Linked DNA regions of Saccharomyces cerevisiae S288C. The main gene of each other region encodes a partner of the protein of the gene in region 3 in a complex. Each region holds a gene or a part of one and is shown on either strand. Other genes may lie near its edges. The genes, in order: RAD2, RAD4, TFB1 and TFB4. A codon is read from its position in the direction of its gene.

The links.
Region 1: the proteins of TFB1 (region 3) and RAD2 are in contact, whole or in part, in an NMR structure (PDB 2LOX), measured with the Saccharomyces cerevisiae proteins. Residues at the interface, in NP_010597.3 of Saccharomyces cerevisiae: Leu48 (codon at 2,295), Gln49 (codon at 2,298), Ala50 (codon at 2,301), Thr51 (codon at 2,304), Pro52 (codon at 2,307), Ser55 (codon at 2,316), Lys57 (codon at 2,322), Met59 (codon at 2,328), Arg61 (codon at 2,334), Met88 (codon at 2,415), Ser90 (codon at 2,421), Lys101 (codon at 2,454), Gln105 (codon at 2,466), Ile108 (codon at 2,475), Ser109 (codon at 2,478), Lys112 (codon at 2,487), Asp113 (codon at 2,490), Asp115 (codon at 2,496); in NP_011774.1 of Saccharomyces cerevisiae: Leu665 (codon at 4,704), Ser666 (codon at 4,707), Glu667 (codon at 4,710), Leu669 (codon at 4,716), Phe670 (codon at 4,719), Glu671 (codon at 4,722), Asp672 (codon at 4,725), Val673 (codon at 4,728), Pro674 (codon at 4,731), Thr675 (codon at 4,734), Lys676 (codon at 4,737), Ser677 (codon at 4,740), Ile679 (codon at 4,746).
Region 2: the proteins of TFB1 (region 3) and RAD4 are in contact, whole or in part, in an NMR structure (PDB 2M14), measured with the Saccharomyces cerevisiae proteins. Residues at the interface, in NP_010597.3 of Saccharomyces cerevisiae: Asp46 (codon at 2,289), Lys47 (codon at 2,292), Leu48 (codon at 2,295), Gln49 (codon at 2,298), Ala50 (codon at 2,301), Thr51 (codon at 2,304), Pro52 (codon at 2,307), Ser55 (codon at 2,316), Lys57 (codon at 2,322), Met59 (codon at 2,328), Leu60 (codon at 2,331), Arg61 (codon at 2,334), Met88 (codon at 2,415), Gln105 (codon at 2,466), Ile108 (codon at 2,475), Lys112 (codon at 2,487); in NP_011089.4 of Saccharomyces cerevisiae: Asp91 (codon at 3,290), Glu93 (codon at 3,296), Glu94 (codon at 3,299), Phe95 (codon at 3,302), Glu96 (codon at 3,305), Val98 (codon at 3,311), Thr99 (codon at 3,314), Asp100 (codon at 3,317), Gly101 (codon at 3,320), Asn102 (codon at 3,323).
Region 4: the proteins of TFB1 (region 3) and TFB4 are in contact, whole or in part, in a cryo-EM structure (PDB 7K01), measured with the Saccharomyces cerevisiae proteins. Residues at the interface, in NP_010597.3 of Saccharomyces cerevisiae: Gln467 (codon at 3,552), Gln471 (codon at 3,564), Met477 (codon at 3,582), Asp478 (codon at 3,585), Asn482 (codon at 3,597), Leu486 (codon at 3,609), Asn487 (codon at 3,612), Gln488 (codon at 3,615), Pro491 (codon at 3,624), Asn492 (codon at 3,627), Asn493 (codon at 3,630), Val503 (codon at 3,660), Ile504 (codon at 3,663), Ala506 (codon at 3,669), Ile507 (codon at 3,672), Asn510 (codon at 3,681), Ala511 (codon at 3,684), Gln513 (codon at 3,690), Ala514 (codon at 3,693), Lys515 (codon at 3,696); in NP_015381.1 of Saccharomyces cerevisiae: Ser49 (codon at 1,902), Ile51 (codon at 1,908), Glu55 (codon at 1,920), Val59 (codon at 1,932), Tyr130 (codon at 2,145), Glu136 (codon at 2,163), Glu141 (codon at 2,178), Glu242 (codon at 2,481), Gly243 (codon at 2,484), Ile245 (codon at 2,490), Gln246 (codon at 2,493), Tyr247 (codon at 2,496), Ile262 (codon at 2,541), Val263 (codon at 2,544), Lys264 (codon at 2,547), Pro265 (codon at 2,550), Asn266 (codon at 2,553).

What each region holds. Positions count from the first base shown.
Region 1 is NC_001139.9:1,006,787-1,013,477, reverse strand, and holds RAD2 (ssDNA endodeoxyribonuclease RAD2), read left to right. Parts: upstream 1-2,711; coding exon 2,712-5,807; downstream 5,808-6,691. Other genes in the region: TNA1 (Tna1p), read right to left, coding at 1-993; MTM1 (Mtm1p), read left to right, coding at 6,173-6,691. UniProt on the Saccharomyces cerevisiae protein: Single-stranded DNA endonuclease involved in excision repair of DNA damaged with UV light, bulky adducts, or cross-linking agents. Essential for the incision step of excision-repair.
Region 2 is NC_001137.3:499,678-505,913, reverse strand, and holds RAD4 (Rad4p), read left to right. Parts: upstream 1-3,019; coding exon 3,020-5,284; downstream 5,285-6,236. Other genes in the region: chromatin-remodeling ATPase CHD1, read right to left, coding at 1-522; GCG1 (gamma-glutamylcyclotransferase), read left to right, coding at 2,132-2,830; SPT2 (Spt2p), read left to right, coding at 5,566-6,236. UniProt on the Saccharomyces cerevisiae protein: Involved in nucleotide excision repair of DNA damaged with UV light, bulky adducts, or cross-linking agents.
Region 3 is NC_001136.10:1,082,912-1,088,410, forward strand, and holds TFB1 (TFIIH/NER complex subunit TFB1), read left to right. Parts: upstream 1-2,153; coding exon 2,154-4,082; downstream 4,083-5,499. Other genes in the region: SUM1 (Sum1p), read right to left, coding at 1-1,405; SSF2 (rRNA-binding ribosome biosynthesis protein), read left to right, coding at 4,670-5,499. UniProt on the Saccharomyces cerevisiae protein: Component of the general transcription and DNA repair factor IIH (TFIIH) core complex, which is involved in general and transcription-coupled nucleotide excision repair (NER) of damaged DNA and, when complexed to TFIIK, in RNA transcription by RNA polymerase II.
Region 4 is NC_001148.4:669,369-674,114, forward strand, and holds TFB4 (TFIIH/NER complex subunit TFB4), read left to right. Parts: upstream 1-1,757; coding exon 1,758-2,774; downstream 2,775-4,746. Other genes in the region: exocyst subunit SEC8, read left to right, coding at 1-1,505; BRR1 (Brr1p), read left to right, coding at 3,103-4,128; YMC1 (organic acid transporter), read left to right, coding at 4,383-4,746. UniProt on the Saccharomyces cerevisiae protein: Component of the general transcription and DNA repair factor IIH (TFIIH) core complex, which is involved in general and transcription-coupled nucleotide excision repair (NER) of damaged DNA and, when complexed to TFIIK, in RNA transcription by RNA polymerase II.

The DNA.
Region 1 (6,691 bases), on a different chromosome or scaffold from region 3:
CAAATCGATACCGAATAATGCCACAGCACTAGCCCAAGTCTTGACATCCTTAACTGCTTGCCACACTTGGAACCATTCAAATTTTTCGTCCGGGTCAAAAGTGTTCATAGTCTTGTATCTTTCGGAAATGTACTCTTTTTCCTCCTTATTGAAAAACCACGAATCCTCCAAATTTTTGCTCAACCCGAAGGCATAGAATGGTACGAACCCCAAAGAGATACAACCTTCGACAATGTAAATGTATTGCCAGTCCTTTAGAGAACCGCTGATTTTGGAACAACCATAAGCAATCAGCCCACCAAAAGATGAAGACAAACAGGCTGCACTGAAGACAAAAGCGAACCTCAGAGCATATTGTTCTCTTCTATAGCAGACTGAAAGGTACATGTTAATAGCGGGATAAATCATACCTTCAAAGGCACCCAGTAGTAGTCTGACAACGATCAATTGAGCATAATTCTTAACCCAAGCAGTTCCGAGCGAAATAGCACCGAAACAGGTCAAACAGATACTCATCATTAATGGCGGACCCATAATTTTCAGAAGGTTAGTACCTATGGGGTCGAAAAGAACATACGTCGCGAAAAAAACTGTGACACATGTGTTATATTGCGTTCCTACAAGGTGGATATCCTTGGATAGACCTGCAACTTCTGCGTTACCAATATTCGATTTATCCAGGTTAGAAAGGAAATATAGCATCCCCATAAGAGGAATCAAGTATATATCCATTTTGCGCAAGACACGCTTTTCCATTGGATGGGAAGGGGAGGGGATGCCGTCATCATCCGTGGTAGTAGCCATAATTTCCCGTTCGGTGGCAAGTTCCGACTTCTTGTCATGGCTGCGATTATGCAAGCTAGCGTCATGGCCTTCATCTTCCTGGAACGTGACTTCCGTAGGCTTTTCTTCTGATCCATCATTGGTGGGTGATATGAAAAGCACATCATCCACCAAATGCTTAGGTGACTCCATTGTAAATTTGTTGCTCATCTAGAGGTAATGACAATAGTTCAATGCTCGAAAGTGAAGAAATATTTCTTTTTTTTTTTATATAAGCCTTCTGCGCAGTCGTTTTTTTTTCAGTCGCTGTCTCACGGGGGAAAATAGTTTGAAAAAGGCGAAGAGGGGGAAAACTGTGATGTGAATACGACTTCTAAGACAGTAAATATGGACGTATGCTTATAGCTTGGAGAGTTAGTTAATATAGAGAAATATAAATAGTAGATAAGAAGTACATATGAAACAAAAAAAAAATGGCAATAAAATAACAAAAGGATCTCGAGTAGGAACATACTTCAAAGAAAGGAAAACTCATGGTTTATATATTATCCAGAATTTTTAACGTAATCGGAGATGCGACAGATATTTCAGGGTGTATGGATGAGGTCAAAACAATACTAATCACACACGCCGCGAAGCCTTCGACGGTTCGTAACCTGTCCTCATGTGTGACGCATAGGATTCTACGGTAGATCCCGAGTATGCCCGGCTGTGATTGGTAACTATGATTGCGAGTAATAAGCGATCCGGCGTCCGGTGGTATTTTCTATTTTGTTGGTGCGACCGCTTCTTCGCAGAGAATGGGTGACTTGTAAAAGGAGAGAGACACTGGAAAAACCAACAGAATACGAGCAGGAAACTAGAAAATAAAAAACTAAAAAAAAAAAAAAACAAAAAGGAAAGGAAAAATTAGTAGAAGCCGGCGACGATTGCAGAATCCAGAGGGATACCGCTGTAACAGAGAATACGGGCACCCAGACAAGTGACTGGCGCCAGACTTTGTTATTTCACCTGGACCCGAATAATAATATTAAATAGTGATAATAATAATAACATATAGCATAAATAATAATGTACAAAATAATAATAATAAATAAATAAATGGTTCACCATGGACTGTACAGGCGTTCCGGAACGCACATAGTGACAGTACAAGACCTGGTTGTGTGCCATAATGGCCGGCATGTGAAATCGCGGCTTCTGTATATGTACATATCTGTTCTTTTACCATGTCGTCCATTTTCCGTTCACTTTAGCCAACACGGCGACGTTGTGCGGAATTGATTTGAAGTCGATTTTTTCTATGGAGTATTCCCAAACTGCCCCCAAATTTTGCAAATTAGTGCGCGGGGTGAATGGGTGCGTCAGAGCATTTACTGACACCTGGCGGCATAAGCAGCGACGTATCGTGTCCAAGGCAGGCCATAGCAAGAGCGTTTGTGATTGATTTTCAAGGCGCAGATACCATTGGAACACAGTAGCGCAGAAGGTACTCCTCAAAAGAGACAGAGAGAGAAATCAGAGTCAGGGAGCTTAGTAGCTGCTGTTACCAATATTATACAATAAGTAAGGTTTGCATATGCGGAAACTTCGCACTTGAATTTTTTTTTTTTTCTTTTTTGGTAGCTTTTTGATGTTTCCAGAGGATGTGAGTCAATGAGTGGTGTGACCCCAATACCACATTTTGTTGCTGTTTTTTTTTTTTCATTGTTAATTATCACTATTTTTTTTTCTTTCTAGTATAACCCATTCGAACCTCCGTGGAGGCATTAAAAGGGAGAGTGAAAAAAAAAAAAAGAAAAGAAAAAGAAAAGATGCCGCCACATATAGAGACCTTAAAGGGATTGAAAAACTGTACGTAAATCATTGAAGGTTCTACACGTCATCCATGAAGAAAAGCATTTTCGGGAGAACGCCAAACTTCAGACATGGGTGTGCATTCATTTTGGGATATTGCAGGTCCTACGGCAAGACCGGTCAGGCTGGAATCCTTGGAAGATAAGAGAATGGCAGTAGATGCCTCCATTTGGATATATCAGTTTTTGAAAGCTGTCCGTGATCAGGAGGGGAATGCAGTGAAGAATTCTCATATTACTGGGTTCTTTAGAAGAATTTGTAAGCTATTATACTTTGGCATTAGGCCGGTATTCGTCTTTGATGGTGGTGTGCCCGTATTGAAAAGGGAAACAATACGGCAGAGGAAAGAAAGAAGACAGGGAAAACGAGAGAGTGCGAAATCCACCGCTAGGAAGCTGCTGGCTTTACAATTGCAAAACGGCTCAAACGATAACGTAAAAAACTCTACACCGAGTAGTGGCAGTAGTGTGCAGATCTTCAAACCTCAGGACGAGTGGGACTTGCCCGATATACCGGGATTCAAATACGATAAGGAAGATGCAAGAGTTAACTCTAATAAAACTTTTGAAAAACTGATGAATTCGATAAACGGTGATGGACTGGAAGACATTGATTTAGACACTATAAATCCAGCATCGGCCGAATTTGAAGAGCTGCCAAAGGCCACACAGTATTTGATATTATCGTCGTTGAGGTTGAAATCAAGACTGAGGATGGGATACTCGAAAGAACAATTGGAGACCATCTTCCCAAATAGTATGGATTTCTCAAGATTTCAAATAGACATGGTGAAAAGGAGGAATTTTTTTACTCAAAAGTTAATCAACACTACTGGGTTTCAGGATGGTGGAGCGTCTAAGCTGAACGAGGAGGTGATCAATAGGATATCCGGCCAAAAGAGTAAAGAGTACAAGTTGACTAAGACTAATAACGGGTGGATTCTTGGACTAGGGGCAAACGATGGCTCTGATGCGCAAAAAGCAATCGTAATAGACGATAAAGATGCAGGCGCTTTGGTAAAGCAGTTAGATAGTAATGCTGAGGACGGGGACGTGCTCCGATGGGATGATTTGGAAGATAATTCCTTAAAAATAGTGCGACATGAGTCTTCTAACGCGACGACAGCTCCACAGAAAAGGAGTAACCGGTCAGAAGATGAGGGATGTGACTCTGATGAATGTGAGTGGGAAGAAGTTGAACTCAAGCCCAAGAACGTCAAGTTTGTGGAAGATTTTTCTTTGAAAGCTGCAAGGTTGCCTTACATGGGCCAATCCCTAAACAACGCTGGCAGTAAATCGTTTTTGGACAAAAGACATGATCAGGCATCGCCCTCCAAGACTACTCCAACAATGAGAATTAGCAGAATCAGCGTGGAAGACGACGATGAGGATTACCTGAAACAAATTGAGGAAATTGAAATGATGGAGGCAGTGCAACTTTCTAAGATGGAAAAGAAACCTGAAGCGGACGACAAATCAAAAATCGCTAAGCCGGTAACGTCAAAAGGTACAGAGGCTCGTCCACCAATAGTACAGTATGGATTACTTGGCGCACAACCGGATAGTAAGCAACCGTATCATGTCACAAATTTGAATAGCAAATCAGAGTCGGTCATCAAAAGGACCAGCAAGACAGTTCTTTCTGAGTTTAGGCCACCGTCTCAGCAGGAGGATAAAGGGGCTATTTTAACAGAGGGGGAGCAAAACCTGAATTTTATTTCTCACAAGATACCACAGTTTGATTTTAACAATGAAAATTCCCTGCTTTTTCAAAAGAATACCGAGAGTAATGTGTCCCAAGAAGCCACGAAGGAAAAGTCTCCAATTCCTGAAATGCCGAGCTGGTTTTCTTCAACTGCTTCCCAGCAGTTGTATAATCCCTATAACACAACAAATTTCGTGGAAGATAAAAACGTAAGAAATGAACAAGAAAGTGGAGCAGAAACTACCAATAAAGGGAGTAGCTATGAACTCTTGACAGGCTTAAATGCTACGGAAATATTAGAAAGAGAAAGCGAGAAAGAGAGCTCCAATGATGAAAACAAGGACGATGACTTAGAAGTTTTATCAGAAGAACTATTTGAGGACGTTCCCACTAAATCTCAGATTTCAAAAGAAGCAGAGGATAACGATAGTAGAAAAGTCGAATCTATAAATAAGGAGCATAGAAAGCCTCTTATATTCGACTATGACTTCTCCGAAGATGAAGAAGATAACATAGTAGAAAATATGATAAAGGAACAAGAAGAGTTTGATACATTTAAAAACACGACTTTGTCCACTTCTGCTGAAAGAAACGTTGCCGAGAACGCTTTTGTGGAGGATGAATTATTCGAACAACAGATGAAGGATAAAAGAGATTCGGATGAGGTAACTATGGATATGATCAAAGAAGTGCAAGAATTACTATCGAGGTTTGGAATCCCCTATATCACTGCGCCTATGGAAGCTGAAGCACAGTGTGCGGAATTGTTACAACTAAACCTTGTCGATGGTATAATTACCGATGACAGTGATGTTTTCCTATTTGGAGGTACAAAGATCTACAAAAATATGTTCCACGAAAAGAACTATGTTGAATTTTATGATGCGGAATCTATTTTAAAATTATTGGGCTTGGATAGAAAGAATATGATTGAGTTGGCACAGCTTTTAGGGAGCGATTACACGAATGGATTGAAGGGTATGGGTCCCGTTTCAAGCATTGAAGTGATTGCAGAATTTGGAAACCTAAAAAATTTTAAAGACTGGTATAATAATGGGCAGTTTGATAAACGTAAGCAAGAAACGGAAAATAAATTTGAAAAAGACCTGAGAAAAAAACTGGTAAATAACGAAATTATCTTAGATGATGATTTTCCTAGCGTCATGGTTTATGATGCGTATATGAGACCAGAAGTCGATCACGATACCACGCCGTTTGTTTGGGGGGTACCAGATCTCGATATGCTTCGTTCATTCATGAAGACTCAACTAGGTTGGCCACACGAAAAGTCTGATGAAATTCTCATTCCCTTAATTAGAGATGTTAATAAACGCAAAAAGAAGGGGAAGCAAAAAAGGATTAATGAATTTTTTCCAAGGGAGTACATATCTGGTGATAAGAAGCTCAATACAAGTAAGAGAATTTCAACCGCAACAGGTAAACTAAAGAAAAGAAAGATGTAATAACATATACTTATGTATGATTTACTATTTATAAACATTACCTTTGTTTCTGCATGTTAACAAAGTCAACCGATCCAGGAATAGTAGATATATACGGTCCTTTTGGTATCTTTGCGTCGGTGAGGTATGACACTTTTGGCACCCACCCAAACACGCGCAACGTTATTTTTCGCCATCTTGAAGATCTCAGAATAGCAATTAGAGAATAAGACACATTCTGTCATTTTTGCATATTTCCGGGAAGATCACTCCTCTGGAATTGGGGCACACTACCCTCATATTTGTGCCAGTTCACTTCACAGGAATCGTATGAGCCAAAGCCATAAAGTATCGTAGGAAAGGAAACGAGGTGTTGATAATACGATATGAGTGATCGCAATACAAGTAACAGCCTGACCTTAAAAGAACGAATGTTAAGTGCCGGTGCTGGATCAGTACTCACTTCTTTGATTTTGACACCGATGGATGTAGTGAGAATACGGCTGCAACAGCAGCAGATGATTCCTGACTGTTCATGTGATGGGGCTGCCGAAGTGCCCAACGCCGTTAGCTCAGGCTCCAAAATGAAGACATTCACCAACGTCGGAGGACAGAACTTGAACAACGCAAAAATATTTTGGGAGAGTGCTTGTTTTCAAGAACTGCACTGTAAAAATTCATCGTTGAAGTTCAACGGTACTTTAGAAGCATTCACGAAAATTGCCAGCGTCGAAGGTATTACAAGTTTGTGGAGGGGTATTTCTTTGACCCTATTAATGGCTATTCCTGCCAACATGGTTTATTTTAGTGGTTATGAATATATAAGAGACGTTTCTCCTATAGCCTCGACGTACCCAACATTAAACCCCCTCTTTTGTGGTGCAATTGCGAGGGTATTTGCAGCA
Region 2 (6,236 bases), on a different chromosome or scaffold from region 3:
CTCTGGTTGAGGATTGGCAGATGCTTCATGCACATTTTCCTCTGATAAAGCCTCCTCGGAACCATAGTCATCTTCAGATTCTAAGAGGTCATCATCGCTATAATCGATGTTATAATTTACCGTTTTGTTTTGACGATTAGAAAACCTTGTTGGTATTTTCACTGTAGATTGCTTTTCAGATTGAGATTTTGGCTTAGATTTAGACTTTGATTTTGTTCTTGATTTCGGTTTTGATCGATTTTGTTTTATAGGAGAGCCATAATAATCATCATCTTCTTCAAAATCTTCCTCATCTTCGTCCTCTCCAGAATCTTCTTCGCCTTCTTCATCTTCAAATTCGTCTTCGTCGTCTTCAATCGTGGTCATTCTCTTCCTCCTCGACTGTTTAATATTATCTTCATCGTCCTCATCATCGCTATCGTTGAAGTAGTTTTGTTGATGCGCAGCAGCTCTATGTGACCGCCTCAGCCCATATAGTTCAGGATTTTGCAGCACTTCAGTAGAAATATCCTTGGCTGCCATTATAAGTGAGAATTAAATTAGAAAAGGTTCTGCTTTGAATTGGGTATAGGTTTAAAGAAATAACGGAAAAGTCTTGAAGCAAATGAAAAATAAAAACCTTTGAGAAACTTTGTCGTTAGTGAATAGGTAAGCTAGTGGAACTCAAGTACGAATTAAAGAAAATGATGGTCGATGTTTAGGCTTATTCAATTTTCTCCTTTGGAAGAAACAAGTATGTGTATATTCACAAAAGAAGTAACGGAAAAGAGAAGGTGACTTCTGCAAGCTTGCTTATCTTGACTTGATAACCCCAAACTTTTATCAACTTGACTTAGATGTCCGGACAAGAATACGATAGTACTAACCAGATATAATGAGGACAAGATTCTTCTACACAATGTTTCTCGTGGTACAGTTTCGAAATTGAAAAGAAGGAAAGGAAAAAAAGTAAAATTATATAACGAGAGGGTAACAGTATGATAATCGACTACTGAACTATGATCTGTTCGACAAGTGTTGCATATTACATGTCTTTAATGGTATCAATAATTGACATAATCTTATATCAGTAATGATATCAGGAAAGAACTTTGTAATGTTTGGGAACATATGTCCTAGTGTAGGGATGGGATGTGATAAGGATCGTGGGATGTTAAATTTATTCTCTTAGATGAAATTGCCTACACCTTCTGGACGGTTGATAATTAAGTTTTCAACTTTAGCGTGTTTCATTTTCAAAATATTGAAGAAGTGGCCTACCAGTGATATCCAACCGATGCGCGAGCAACACGCAAGCCCTTGGCTTGTGAGCAGCGTTTAGCTGACCGTATTACGCATTGATGGGCTGAGGAAAACATACAGGCAATCATGTCTTTTGATTTTGGCAACGTATGATCTTTTACCGTATATGGGGCAGTAACATATCATCGAAGTAAAAGCTAAAACAAAGAAAGTTAAAAAAAATAAACGTACAACATAGAAGCTTACCTTTCAAGGATATCTCAAAAGTATCAAATATATCACGGTGACTTCGGCCTGCGAAAGAAGATTTTCCTCGAACGGTGAAATACTGAGATGATCCATAAAGTAATGAGAGTGTTCTCGCTTGTATGGTTCGCTGACCTATGCCACCCGTGTTTCTCCATTGCGCAGAGGCTTCCATATTGACCACTACGTAGTGGCAACTTAAAACAATCAAAAATCGTTTTCTTCCTTAGGACTTGACTGCTTCGTCTTAAGATTATTGCCAGAAATTGAAGACAGAAAACATCAGTGAGAGGGGAGGGAGAGAGTGTCGCAACGTATGACCTCTTTTAAAGGCGTATGTCAACCAGCGGTTATCAATAGTTCCCTTGTGTTAAGGGAAGCTTGGAAGTTGTCACCAACACCTAGCAGACTTTTCTTCGACGTCCTCCCTAGTGGTTTATATGAAGAGAATGAGAAAATTTGCCACTCCAGTAATTTTTCCTTTTTTTTTTTTTTGGATTCGCCAAGGAGCGGGATAATTGGTATTCTGGGTAACGCTAAAAGGTAAGGTCAATATTAGCTATGAGTTTAGTCTCGAGGTGATTTAACCTTGGAAGAAGCAATCACGACGTTGGTTTGGGCTTATAAAAAGTTGTATGGCCAAATGACTAATGACAACAGTGGTATCTGGGTCCTAGGCTACGGATCTCTGATTTACAAGCCTCCGTCTCATTACACGCATAGAATACCGGCAATAATTCACGGTTTTGCTCGTCGGTTCTGGCAAAGTTCCACTGATCATAGGGGTACACCTGCAAACCCAGGAAGAGTGGCCACACTAATCCCGTATGAGGATATTATAAGGCAAACTGCCTTCTTGAAGAATGTGAATTTGTATAGTGAAAGTGCACCTATCCAGGATCCCGACGACTTAGTCACCATAGGGGTAGTGTATTATATACCACCAGAACATGCTCAAGAGGTTAGAGAGTATTTGAACGTAAGAGAACAAAACGGGTACACTCTACATGAGGTTGAGGTGCATCTAGAAACTAATCGGGAGCACGAGGCAGAATTGGGTGAAGCATTAGAACAGTTGCCTCGGCACAACAAATCGGGTAAACGGGTACTACTTACTTCGGTGTACATTGGTACAATAGATAATGAGGCCTTCGTCGGACCAGAGACCGTGGATGAAACTGCGAAAGTAATTGCCGTGTCGCATGGACCTAGTGGATCTAACTATGAATACCTTGCAAAACTGGAGCAAGCGCTAGCGCAAATGCCCATCATGAAAGAGCGAGGGCGTATTACCGATCATTATCTGACTGCTCTATTGGAGACTGTAAATAAATACAGGTGAATGAAATATGTATACATATCTTGATTAACTATGTAAGGTTCTCCTCTTGCTTTTCTACCATCTATATAGTGCGGCGGAAAATGGAAAAATGCGGTTAAGTACCTTTAATGCATGCACAATATATGCAAATTTTATGCAGTTCAAACAGGACGACAAGCAGAGACATAACGACACTATTTTTCCGCTAAAATGAATGAAGACCTGCCCAAGGAATATTTTGAACTAATAAGGAAGGCTCTTAACGAGAAAGAGGCAGAAAAAGCGCCCCTGAGTAGAAGAAGAAGAGTCAGAAGGAAGAACCAGCCCCTACCAGATGCCAAGAAGAAGTTTAAAACAGGGTTGAATGAATTGCCACGAGAAAGCGTTGTTACTGTAAACTTAGATTCTTCAGATGATGGCGTCGTTACGGTACCGACGGATGATAGTGTAGAGGAAATCCAGTCATCTGAAGAAGATTATGATTCGGAGGAATTTGAAGACGTGACAGATGGAAATGAGGTGGCCGGTGTAGAAGATATATCTGTTGAAATTAAGCCCTCTAGTAAAAGGAATAGTGATGCTAGAAGGACAAGCCGCAACGTTTGTTCTAATGAAGAACGGAAAAGGAGAAAATATTTCCACATGTTGTATCTAGTTTGCTTGATGGTTCATGGATTTATACGAAATGAATGGATTAACAGCAAGCGCTTGTCTAGAAAACTGAGCAACTTAGTTCCTGAGAAAGTGTTTGAGCTACTGCATCCTCAGAAAGATGAGGAACTCCCACTTAGGAGTACTAGGAAATTATTAGATGGGTTGAAGAAATGCATGGAGTTATGGCAAAAACACTGGAAGATCACTAAAAAATATGATAATGTGGGACTTTATATGAGAACCTGGAAAGAAATTGAAATGAGCGCCAATAACAAAAGAAAATTCAAGACGTTGAAAAGATCTGACTTTTTAAGGGCCGTCAGTAAAGGTCACGGAGATCCTGATATTTCAGTGCAAGGTTTCGTTGCGATGCTCAGGGCTTGTAATGTTAACGCACGACTTATCATGTCATGTCAACCGCCAGATTTTACCAATATGAAGATTGACACTTCTTTGAATGGAAACAATGCGTACAAAGATATGGTCAAGTATCCGATTTTTTGGTGTGAAGTGTGGGACAAATTCTCTAAGAAATGGATAACTGTTGACCCAGTAAATCTCAAAACCATTGAACAGGTCAGACTTCATTCCAAGTTGGCACCGAAAGGCGTGGCGTGCTGCGAAAGAAATATGTTGAGGTACGTGATTGCTTACGATCGGAAGTATGGCTGTAGAGATGTAACTCGAAGATATGCCCAATGGATGAACTCTAAAGTAAGAAAAAGAAGAATTACTAAAGATGACTTTGGTGAGAAATGGTTCAGAAAAGTGATAACAGCACTTCACCATAGAAAGAGAACCAAAATTGATGATTACGAAGATCAATATTTTTTTCAGAGAGATGAAAGTGAAGGCATACCAGATTCGGTGCAGGATTTGAAAAACCACCCATATTATGTTTTAGAACAAGATATCAAACAGACTCAAATTGTAAAGCCAGGATGTAAAGAGTGTGGATATTTAAAAGTACATGGAAAAGTTGGGAAGGTTTTGAAAGTTTATGCAAAAAGAGATATTGCGGATTTGAAAAGTGCTAGACAATGGTACATGAACGGCCGAATTTTAAAAACTGGTAGCAGGTGTAAAAAGGTGATAAAGAGGACAGTTGGAAGGCCTAAGGGCGAAGCAGAAGAAGAAGATGAAAGATTATATAGCTTTGAAGACACAGAATTATACATCCCTCCATTAGCCAGTGCGAGCGGTGAAATAACCAAGAATACATTTGGAAACATCGAAGTTTTTGCACCAACGATGATACCTGGTAACTGTTGTTTGGTTGAGAATCCTGTGGCAATTAAAGCTGCTAGGTTTTTGGGGGTGGAATTTGCACCTGCTGTAACTTCTTTTAAGTTTGAACGCGGCAGTACAGTTAAGCCAGTTTTAAGTGGCATTGTTGTTGCAAAGTGGCTCAGAGAAGCTATTGAAACCGCTATTGATGGAATAGAGTTTATTCAAGAGGATGATAATAGGAAGGAACATTTGCTTGGTGCTTTGGAGAGTTGGAATACTTTACTGCTAAAACTGCGTATTCGTAGCAAGCTGAACTCCACATATGGTAAAATTGCCGAGGAAGAACCTAACGTTACGAAGGAACAGAATATTGCGGACAATCACGATAATACGGAGACTTTTATGGGAGGTGGGTTCCTACCAGGTATAGCAAACCACGAAGCAAGGCCGTATAGTGAACCTTCAGAGCCAGAAGATAGTTTAGATTATGTTTCTGTTGACAAAGCGGAGGAAAGTGCTACAGACGACGATGTCGGGGAGGATTATTCGGATTTTATGAAAGAACTAGAGATGTCAGAGGAATCAGACTGAAATGAGGCTGAAACGGTTTGAATAATTAGGAAAGTATGTTTTTAATAAAGAAATTCTATGTTCAGGAATTTTGTATATACTTTGTAATGAATGAGAACTTAGTTGGCTTCAAACTTTTTCGTTTAACATGATTATTTTTCTTGTTCGACTAAGATATTCCCACATGGACAAGTGCCACAGATTAATATATGAATACAATAAAATAACTAGTGTAATTTGAAAATAAAAGTTGATGAGAGGGACAGGGACTTGAGTCCTATTCAAAGTGAAATATTTTAGTTATGAGTTTTCTTTCCAAACTTTCCCAAATACGAAAATCAACGACTGCATCAAAAGCCCAAGTGCAAGATCCATTACCCAAGAAGAATGACGAAGAGTATTCCTTGTTACCCAAAAATTACATAAGAGACGAAGATCCTGCAGTAAAAAGATTGAAGGAGCTGAGGCGGCAGGAACTGTTAAAGAATGGTGCTTTGGCTAAAAAAAGTGGTGTAAAACGGAAACGTGGCACCTCATCTGGATCTGAGAAAAAGAAAATAGAAAGGAATGACGATGATGAAGGTGGCCTTGGAATTAGGTTTAAGAGGTCTATTGGAGCAAGTCATGCGCCACTCAAGCCAGTTGTAAGGAAGAAACCTGAACCTATCAAAAAGATGTCATTTGAAGAGCTAATGAAACAAGCGGAAAATAATGAGAAACAGCCCCCAAAAGTTAAGTCATCGGAACCCGTAACTAAGGAACGCCCACATTTTAACAAGCCAGGTTTCAAAAGTTCAAAAAGACCACAAAAGAAAGCATCCCCTGGCGCAACATTGCGTGGAGTATCTTCTGGAGGCAATAGCATAAAATCATCAGACTCACCCAAGCCCGTCAAGCTCAACTTGCCCACAAATGGATTTGCTCAACCTAATAGGAGATTAAAAGAAAAGTTAGAATCTAGAAAACAGAAATC
Region 3 (5,499 bases):
CAGTATTATTATTATTGGTCGTATTATTACCACTATTTTCGCTGGATGATTTGATGGTTATTATTTTCTCCTTCTCGGTTTTATTTTCTTCAACATTTACCTTTCCTTCCACGTTATTATGAACAGTATCAGTAGTATTCGAATCCTCTGCGTTTGGATCACCATTAGTTGAAATTAGAGAGGCCAGTTCTAAACTTTTAATGTCTATTTCTTGTGTGGCTGACCTTGAAGTCCGAACCGGAGCCGGTTGTGACACAGGATTGGATGGAGATGATGGTATTTGATGAAATTTGGAAGATGGAAGCAAGGAATTTATTGGAATCTCGTTTTTAATCCGATTAGATGCATCTGACTTATCTATCGTATCCGTGGAATTGGATATCATTGTTTCCACTGTTCTCTTTTTTGGGGGCCTGCCTCTTTTTCTTTTGATTTGAATTAAGTTGTTCGGCGTAACAGGTGTTGGTGTGATGGAGCTAGAATTAGCAGTGGATGGTCGCTCTTTACCATTTTCATTGTTCGTTCTTTGCGGTACGGAAGTCAAGGACATATCAGCATCATCTCTTGATGATGAAGGGGCAGATAATAAAAGCGACTCTTGTTTCGTTGATGGTTCCACAAAATACCTTTTGGATTTAGACGTTTGTACTACGGCAGTCGGTAAAGTAATATTTACTGGTGAGAAAGGAGCACCCTGATTGGATGCACTTTTGAGATTGACCGAGGCTGCGTTTGACACTAACTTATTCATTGTGGAGGTCGAGGCATCTTTTCTTGGCCTGCCAGGTCCCCTTCGAGAAGAAGAGGTATTATGCTGTGAACTGGTATTGTTGGATGAATTTTCTATGAGAAGGTTAGAGTGATTTACTTTCGAAGTATTTTGCAACATTGTCGATAATTTGTTCAATCGTTCATTCAAATTATTGACCAATATGTCAGTATTTACTTGATTCTTCATGACATCATCCAGCTTATTTTCCAAAACTGATTGGTTGTGTGATAAAACTTTTAATGAGTTAAACAAATCCTGCACAGAATCAGTGAGGGAAGTGTCTTTGGAAAGCAAAGCCGTCTTCAAATCGTTGCATTGTTTTGTGACTTTGTCCATACCCTCTTTTAGGGCTTCAATAGATGAATGTGGAAAGGCCTCGGAATCTTTTATATGAAGCGGATTTGAACCAAAACCAGAGCCAACTTGTCGTTTTATATCAGAATCATCACTGACTGGTATGTCTGTGATGGATGGCAAAGCTTTAGCGTTCGCATCTGTATCTAGCTTCCTCAAACTATTAGCTTGATTTTGAGCACTGGTAAGTGCTAACGTATCTACGTCATCTTTGGGTCCAGACGGAAGTCTCTGTTCATTGGTTATGTTATCAGAAGGGGCTGTGGTGTTCTCAGACATCCCCGCAACAAACGAATTTTGTTAATTATGTATGAAACTTTTCGTTTGATCTCAATAATACCACTAGCGACTAAATTTTTATGATACTTAGCTACTTTAAACAAGTCCCTTGTGCTCTGTTTGCTGACACTTTTGATAAAATATGCCTGTGTATAATTCTTTTAGCAGTTTATTTCAAACACAAATGGTATTAAAAGGATAGATGAAAAAAAAAAAAAAATTAAAGCCACTAGTAATGATACAATCGTGGTATCACAAGCGCTGAATGAAACAAGTGTGGCTATCTATAGCGGATGCAAGTGGAGAACTTGTGAATCCAAACTGAAATATTTTGCCATCATTTGTTGTCCTTTCCCTTTTCCATTCAGGAAAAAAAAAAAAAATTTGACGTCGCCGTCGCGTCGCAGTCATATAATTACAGCAATTTATCTTGTTGAACGACGCAAATTAATGGAAATTGTGACTTACATAGTAAGTATTAGTAAACGTAGTTAAGGCCACGTGGGAAAGATATGAAAGGAGTGTAAGTAATGGATATCGGTCTAACGAAAATGGAAACCAATCTTTAAAAATGATAGTATGATTCGACAGTAAACTAGAAAAGCCACAACCCGTGGGACATGATAAGGCTGCTCGTTTTTGACGCAATTTTTAGACAATACTGAAATTTAGCATAATAAGCTTTCCCAGTGAAAGTAATAATATTTAACCTAGGGTAGGGGTAGGGAAAAAATAAAAGTAAACCATAATGTCACATTCCGGAGCTGCCATTTTTGAGAAAGTTTCTGGGATAATTGCCATAAATGAGGATGTTTCACCCGCAGAATTGACATGGAGGTCTACGGACGGTGACAAGGTTCACACAGTTGTCTTATCCACTATTGACAAGTTACAAGCTACCCCTGCTTCCAGTGAAAAAATGATGTTGAGGCTAATCGGGAAAGTGGATGAGTCAAAAAAGAGAAAAGACAACGAAGGAAATGAGGTTGTGCCCAAACCGCAACGTCATATGTTTTCGTTTAACAATAGAACAGTTATGGATAATATCAAGATGACCCTTCAACAAATCATCTCACGGTATAAAGATGCAGATATCTACGAAGAAAAGAGAAGAAGAGAGGAGTCTGCGCAACACACAGAAACACCAATGAGCTCTTCTTCTGTTACTGCAGGGACTCCCACACCACATCTCGATACACCACAATTGAATAATGGGGCTCCGTTGATTAATACAGCCAAACTAGATGATTCTCTCTCTAAAGAAAAATTGTTGACCAATTTAAAGCTACAGCAATCTTTACTGAAAGGAAACAAAGTTCTAATGAAGGTTTTTCAGGAAACAGTCATTAACGCCGGTTTGCCTCCATCTGAATTTTGGTCAACTAGAATTCCGTTATTGAGGGCTTTTGCCTTATCTACTTCTCAAAAAGTTGGGCCTTACAACGTTTTGTCAACTATCAAGCCGGTGGCTTCATCGGAAAACAAAGTCAATGTTAATTTGTCAAGAGAAAAAATTTTGAATATTTTTGAGAACTATCCAATTGTAAAGAAAGCTTACACTGATAATGTGCCCAAAAATTTCAAAGAACCAGAGTTCTGGGCAAGGTTCTTCTCTTCGAAGTTATTCAGAAAATTAAGGGGTGAAAAGATCATGCAAAATGATAGAGGTGACGTAATCATTGACAGGTACTTGACATTGGATCAAGAGTTCGACAGAAAAGATGATGACATGCTATTGCATCCTGTGAAAAAAATTATAGATTTAGATGGTAACATACAGGACGACCCAGTTGTACGAGGCAACAGGCCCGACTTCACTATGCAGCCAGGTGTGGATATTAATGGTAATAGCGATGGTACCGTGGACATCTTAAAGGGTATGAATAGATTGAGTGAAAAAATGATTATGGCTTTGAAGAATGAGTATTCAAGGACAAATCTACAGAACAAATCTAATATTACAAACGATGAGGAAGATGAAGATAATGATGAAAGAAATGAACTGAAAATCGATGACTTAAACGAAAGCTACAAGACAAACTATGCAATCATACATCTGAAAAGGAACGCACATGAAAAGACAACCGACAACGATGCGAAAAGCTCGGCAGACTCGATAAAGAATGCAGATTTGAAGGTTTCTAATCAACAAATGTTACAACAGTTGTCATTGGTCATGGATAATTTAATTAATAAGCTAGACTTGAACCAAGTAGTTCCTAACAACGAAGTCAGCAACAAGATCAATAAAAGAGTCATAACTGCAATCAAGATTAACGCCAAACAGGCTAAGCATAACAATGTTAATTCAGCACTCGGCTCTTTTGTCGACAACACTTCTCAAGCAAATGAATTAGAGGTGAAAAGTACCCTACCAATAGACCTATTAGAAAGTTGTAGAATGCTACACACAACGTGCTGTGAATTTCTAAAGCACTTTTATATTCATTTTCAGAGCGGTGAACAAAAGCAAGCCAGTACCGTCAAAAAACTTTATAATCATTTGAAGGACTGTATTGAAAAGCTGAATGAGCTATTTCAAGACGTCCTTAATGGTGATGGTGAATCTATGTCAAACACATGTACCGCCTATTTGAAGCCAGTTTTGAACTCCATTACTTTGGCTACTCATAAGTACGATGAGTACTTCAACGAATATAACAACAATTCGAACTAGAAATATAAAGGCTCTCCAGTTGTTACCACTTTTTACATTCATATTTTTCATCTATTTACTGCATGTTACATATTACATAAAACTTAATTGTGTGTATTCTTCCTTTTTGGTCTTTAGTCTCTATGTAAACAATAGAAAAACGCGGGACTCGATTAACGCTGTGCTGCACTGATGCAGCCGTGCGTGTAAATAAAACATTTAACGTGAAAACGCGCGCGAATGGCTTGTGAAACAAACAAGAAACAAACGGGAAATATTTCAGCATGTGATGTGGCTGAAAATTAGCAAACGATTCGTCAAAATAAATCAGTAATGGTGCTTTAGTTCTATTACAGCTTGCTAATGGTTCAGTAATATTTTCAAAAATTTTGCCAAACAGACCTAAGCACTTGCAATACTCCAGACTGTTAGTTCAGTCATTATCTATCATCTTGGACGATTTTGCAATTTTTTAGTGTAGATGCATCTCATCGACGGGCTTGTATGAATGATATTAAATAGGCAAAATAAACTAGTCTAGCTAATATTCGACTAAATTGCAGCTGCTAGGTCACCATCCCGCACATACCTTAGATATTTTGGAACTAATGGCTAAAAGAAGGCAGAAAAAGAGAACGCATGCGCAGATCACACCCGAGCAGGAACGAGATATTCCTAAATCCATGGTAATCAGAGTGGGACAAACTTCATTGGCTAACCATTCTCTAAACCAATTAGTAAAGGATTTTCGCCAGATCATGCAACCGCATACGGCCGTAAAACTAAAAGAGCGCAAGTCCAATAAACTGAAGGATTTTGTTGTTATGTGTGGCCCATTAGGTGTTACGCATCTTTTCATGTTCACTCAATCTGAAAAAACAGGAAATGTCTCGCTAAAGATAGCTAGAACTCCACAAGGTCCTACTGTTACTTTTCAAGTATTGGACTATTCACTGGGTAGAGATATCAAAAAATTTTTGAAGAGACCTAAATCGTTAAATAATGATGATGTATTAAATCCTCCATTGCTAGTGTTAAATGGGTTTTCCACATCGAAAAGATCTGATGAAGACGATCAGGATGTAAACGTGGAGAAGGTTATTGTTTCCATGTTCCAGAATATTTTCCCACCTCTGAATCCTGCAAGAACTTCGTTGAATTCTATCAAACGTATATTTATGATCAATAAAGACAGAGAAACGGGGGAAATTTCTATGCGCCACTATTTTATTGACATTCGAGAAGTAGAGATCTCTAGAAATCTAAAAAGGCTTTATAAAGCCAAAAATAATCTAAGTAAAACAGTGCCGAATTTGCATCGAAAAGAAGATATTTCTTCTTTGATATTAGATCATGACTTAGGCGCCTATACATCAGAATCTGAAATTGAAGATGACGCTATTGTGAGAGTGGTTGATAATCAGGACGTGAAGGCAAA
Region 4 (4,746 bases), on a different chromosome or scaffold from region 3:
AATCGACATCTACAATTGTTCCCAGTGTCTTAACACAAAATACTATTTCATCCCTAACCTTTTTCGATGATTATATGAATAAAAGTTTTCTCCCAAAGATTCAGATGACTATGGATTATTTATTCACGGTTGAAGTAGAATCCAATAATCCGTACGCCTTAGAGCTATCCGATGAAAATCATAACATTTTTAAAACAGCATTAGATTTTCAAAGGTTATTTTACAATTTATTGAATGTTTTCAACACAGCAAACACATTTAGAGAAAAAATATCGTACTGCATTCTAGATCTTTTGAATCATTTTTATAATTACTACTTGGGGCTATTTAATTCCTTGATTGGTACTTCTGATAGACATTTAACTAGGAAAATAATTACGGCATGGTTGCAGAATGGTATTTTGATGGATCAAGAACAAAAAATTCTGAATGGGGATGAGACACTCTTTCATGAAGAATCCATAGAGTTATTTAAGGAAATACCTCATTTCTATCAAGCGGGTAAAGGTTTGAGCAAATCTGATTTATTCAATAACTTGACATTGGACACAATTCTGCAGTTTTCGGCAAGCGTGTTATGGATATTAAACTGGCTGCCAGGCTTAAAAAAGGCTATCAATATTGATGAAGTAAGCCAAGAACCCATGTTAGATGCTGATAGATTAAGGAGCAGCTGGACATTTTCTGAATCAATGGATTTAAACTATTCGAACCCTAGTTCCAGCCCAAATTCATTAGGAAATCTAAAAATTTTATTGGATGATAAAGCCTCCAAAAAATTTGATGAGACTATCGACGGATTCAAAACCTTGAAATTCAAACTAATCACTATACTGAGGTTCAACATTAGGGCCTTGTGTATATACGACATCGGGTCTTTTTTTCAAAACACCAAAATTTGGAATATGGATGTGGGTAGTATTGAATTAGATCAAAATATAGCTTCTCTAATTTCCGAATTAAGAAGGACTGAAAGCAAATTGAAACAACAGTTACCAGAAAAGGAAAAAAACTCCATATTTATTGGTCTTGATATAGTCAACAACTACGCCTTGATTAAGGGTGCCAAATCCATAAAAGTTTTGAACCATAACGGGATAAAGAAAATGTTGAGAAATGTAAATGTCTTACAACATGCCTATAGAAATCTTTCTTCTGAACCATCAAAAATTAATATGAACGTCACAATGAATTTTTACTCTTTATGCGGCTCCAGTGAAGCTGAACTATTTGAATATATAAAAGACAATGAATTACCGCATTGTTCTGTCGAAGATTTGAAAACCATATTGAGGCTGCAGTTTAGCGAGGAAATGCATCGTCAATTGAAGAGACAAAGCACTAGCTCAACTAAGGGTTCCATAAAACCTTCCAATAAGAGGTACACTGAAGCTTTGGAGAAACTAAGTAACCTCGAAAAAGAGCAGTCGAAAGAAGGAGCCCGCACCAAGATTGGAAAACTTAAAAGCAAATTGAATGCTGTCCATACTGCAAACGAAAAATGACATTTTTAGTTTGTGTAAAATTAATTTGATAAATAAATGAATGAAAATGATCAATAATAAGCGAATAACTATATTTTTAATTACCTTATTTTTACAATATTTTTCACTTGCACTTTTATTTTATTTTCAGCGCGCAGCTCGTCTTGTTCTGTTGAAATTCAAAGATACCTGAAGGAACATTACAACATCAATCAACACTTGAGTAGAAATATACACGATCCAATAAAATATACTGAAGCGAAGCAATCAGAAATGGATGCAATATCTGATCCAACGTTTAAGCATGCTAGATCAAGAAAACAGGTTACTGAAGAATCACCATCTTTGCTTACCGTTATTATAGAAATTGCACCAAAGTTATGGACAACTTTTGATGAGGAAGGAAATGAGAAAGGAAGTATAATAAAGGTTTTAGAGGCATTGATAGTATTTCTCAATGCTCACTTAGCGTTCAATAGCGCCAACAAAGTAGCAGTCATTGCTGCATACTCTCAGGGAATCAAATATTTATACCCAGAGAGCACATCTGCTCTAAAAGCCTCTGAATCTGAAAATAAAACCCGTAGTGATCTTAAGATTATTAACTCAGATATGTATAGACGTTTTAGAAACGTTGATGAGACGCTAGTGGAAGAAATATATAAACTATTTGAGTTAGAAAAGAAACAAATCGAACAAAATAGTCAAAGGAGCACGCTAGCAGGTGCCATGTCAGCTGGGCTGACTTATGTAAACAGAATATCAAAAGAGTCAGTAACTACCTCATTAAAATCAAGGCTACTTGTTCTTACGTGCGGGAGTGGCAGTAGTAAAGATGAAATTTTCCAATACATCCCTATAATGAACTGTATTTTTTCCGCAACAAAAATGAAATGTCCCATTGATGTCGTAAAGATTGGTGGTTCTAAGGAAAGCACGTTTTTACAGCAAACGACGGATGCCACAAATGGCGTTTATTTACATGTTGAATCTACAGAAGGGCTAATTCAATATTTAGCAACTGCAATGTTTATTGATCCGTCGTTAAGACCTATAATTGTTAAGCCAAACCATGGATCTGTAGATTTTAGGACATCATGCTATTTAACAGGGAGAGTTGTTGCCGTTGGATTCATCTGTTCAGTTTGCCTATGTGTCTTATCAATCATACCGCCCGGAAATAAATGTCCTGCTTGTGATTCTCAATTTGATGAGCACGTAATTGCCAAGTTGAAGAGGAAACCAGTTGTTCCAAGGTTGAAAGCCAAAAAGAAGGTGACGAAACCATGAACGAAAGGAATGAACATTATCCGTTTCAAGCAGGTAACCTTCGTCACAATGCATCGTAATAATACATAAAAAAAAATTAGCTTTAAGCACATGTATATTGGACATTCCACAGAAAAAAAAAAGCTTTTGATGTGATTAGCTTAAGACGTTGTGTCATCTTTGAACTGTTTTGACTTCAATCATATCGAATTTGATAATATAACTATCTATGTACTGTCTGGGTGCATCGCTGTTGTTGCTTCGGTAGATTTATTAGTTCGCTTTGGATAATGTATCATACAATAACATTGCCAACATCCATCATAACAGAAACATTAGGTGATAAACAATGAAAAGAGGAGAAAGCCAGGCGCCTGATGCCATCTTTGGTCAATCTCGTGCATTTGCACTATCTGATTCTTCAGTGAATCCTGATGTCATTGAATATCTTAAAAGTGTTAGGCAAGAAGCACTAAGAACCAACGCCATATCGATTAAGAATCATATGAATCTGCAAAAGAGGACGCGTCACAAATCAAGCATGTACGATGATGAGGATGAGGGGGCCCTTAAAAGGCACGCCATCTCGCCATCCTTGATTAGGCTTCAAAGGAATGTAGAAATATGGGTAAGGTGGTTTAACTCTGTGAAGGCGACGGTGTTGACTAATGCCTACGAGTTTACCGGTTATGAGGACGAAACACTGGATCTTTTATTGCTTTTCTTAAAGAATTATCTCGAAGATATGCCCAGCAAATGTACTACAGTTGAAAAAATTATAAGTGTCCTAAATCAGCATTCCTTTCCTGAGAAGGCAGAAGAGAAGGAAGAAAATCTTCAGATTGATGAGGAATGGGCGAAGAATATTTTGGTACGGCTGGAAAAAACCAAGATTGACAGTGTTGAGGATGTAAAAAAAGTAATCACTGAAGGAGATAAACATGAACTAGTTGGATACAACCAGTGGTTCCAATACCTTATAAACAATGAACCGCAGCATACTACTTTTCATGAAAAGATTACCTCTAAGCAACTTTGGGTTCTGATCAAGTATATGTCGAATACATGGATAAAAGAAATACACAAGAAAGGAAGGCATTATCGTCGGCTGCAAGATTGGCTATTCTACATACTGGTACATACACCCGAAAGAGTCACGGCAGAATATACAAGCATCTTGAGAGATCTTGGAAAGAAATGCCTTGAACTGATTCAAAAGAAGCCAGTTGAAGCACATGAGAATAAAATAACACTCCCGAAGGAGATGGCGGAATTGAATGTTGAGATACCAGCCGCGGTGGAGAATATGACGATAACTGAGCTGACAGTGTCTGTTATAGCAGTGAACTATGGTCAAAAAGACTTGATAGAATAATGTAAATAAATTTCTTATGTAGTTTTTTACAGGAAGTAAAAAGTGTTATTACTTTGATTGACTCATTCTTACATTTACTGATAGGCCGAAGATAAGCGGCGCCCTAAGAAAACTCGAGCGCAAATTGTCAGCGATGATGTAGCCATGCTATAGCATCAATCAATGTCAATAAGCTAATAACAACTATCATCTATACTCCAACGCAGCTCTCTTGTTTAGGTTTCTCGTCAATCAAATTCGCATCACGAAGAAGTATGTCTGAAGAATTTCCATCTCCTCAACTAATCGATGATTTGGAAGAACATCCACAGCATGATAATGCTCGAGTCGTGAAAGATTTGCTTGCAGGTACAGCGGGTGGTATTGCGCAAGTGCTAGTGGGCCAGCCCTTTGATACGACAAAAGTTAGGTTACAAACATCGAGCACCCCAACAACAGCCATGGAAGTCGTCAGAAAGCTGCTTGCCAATGAAGGGCCTCGCGGGTTTTACAAAGGAACTCTGACGCCATTAATTGGTGTTGGTGCATGTGTTTCATTACAATTTGGTGTTAATGAAGCTATGAAGAGATTTTTTCATCATCGCAATGCTGATATGTCATCGACTTTGTCATTGCCAC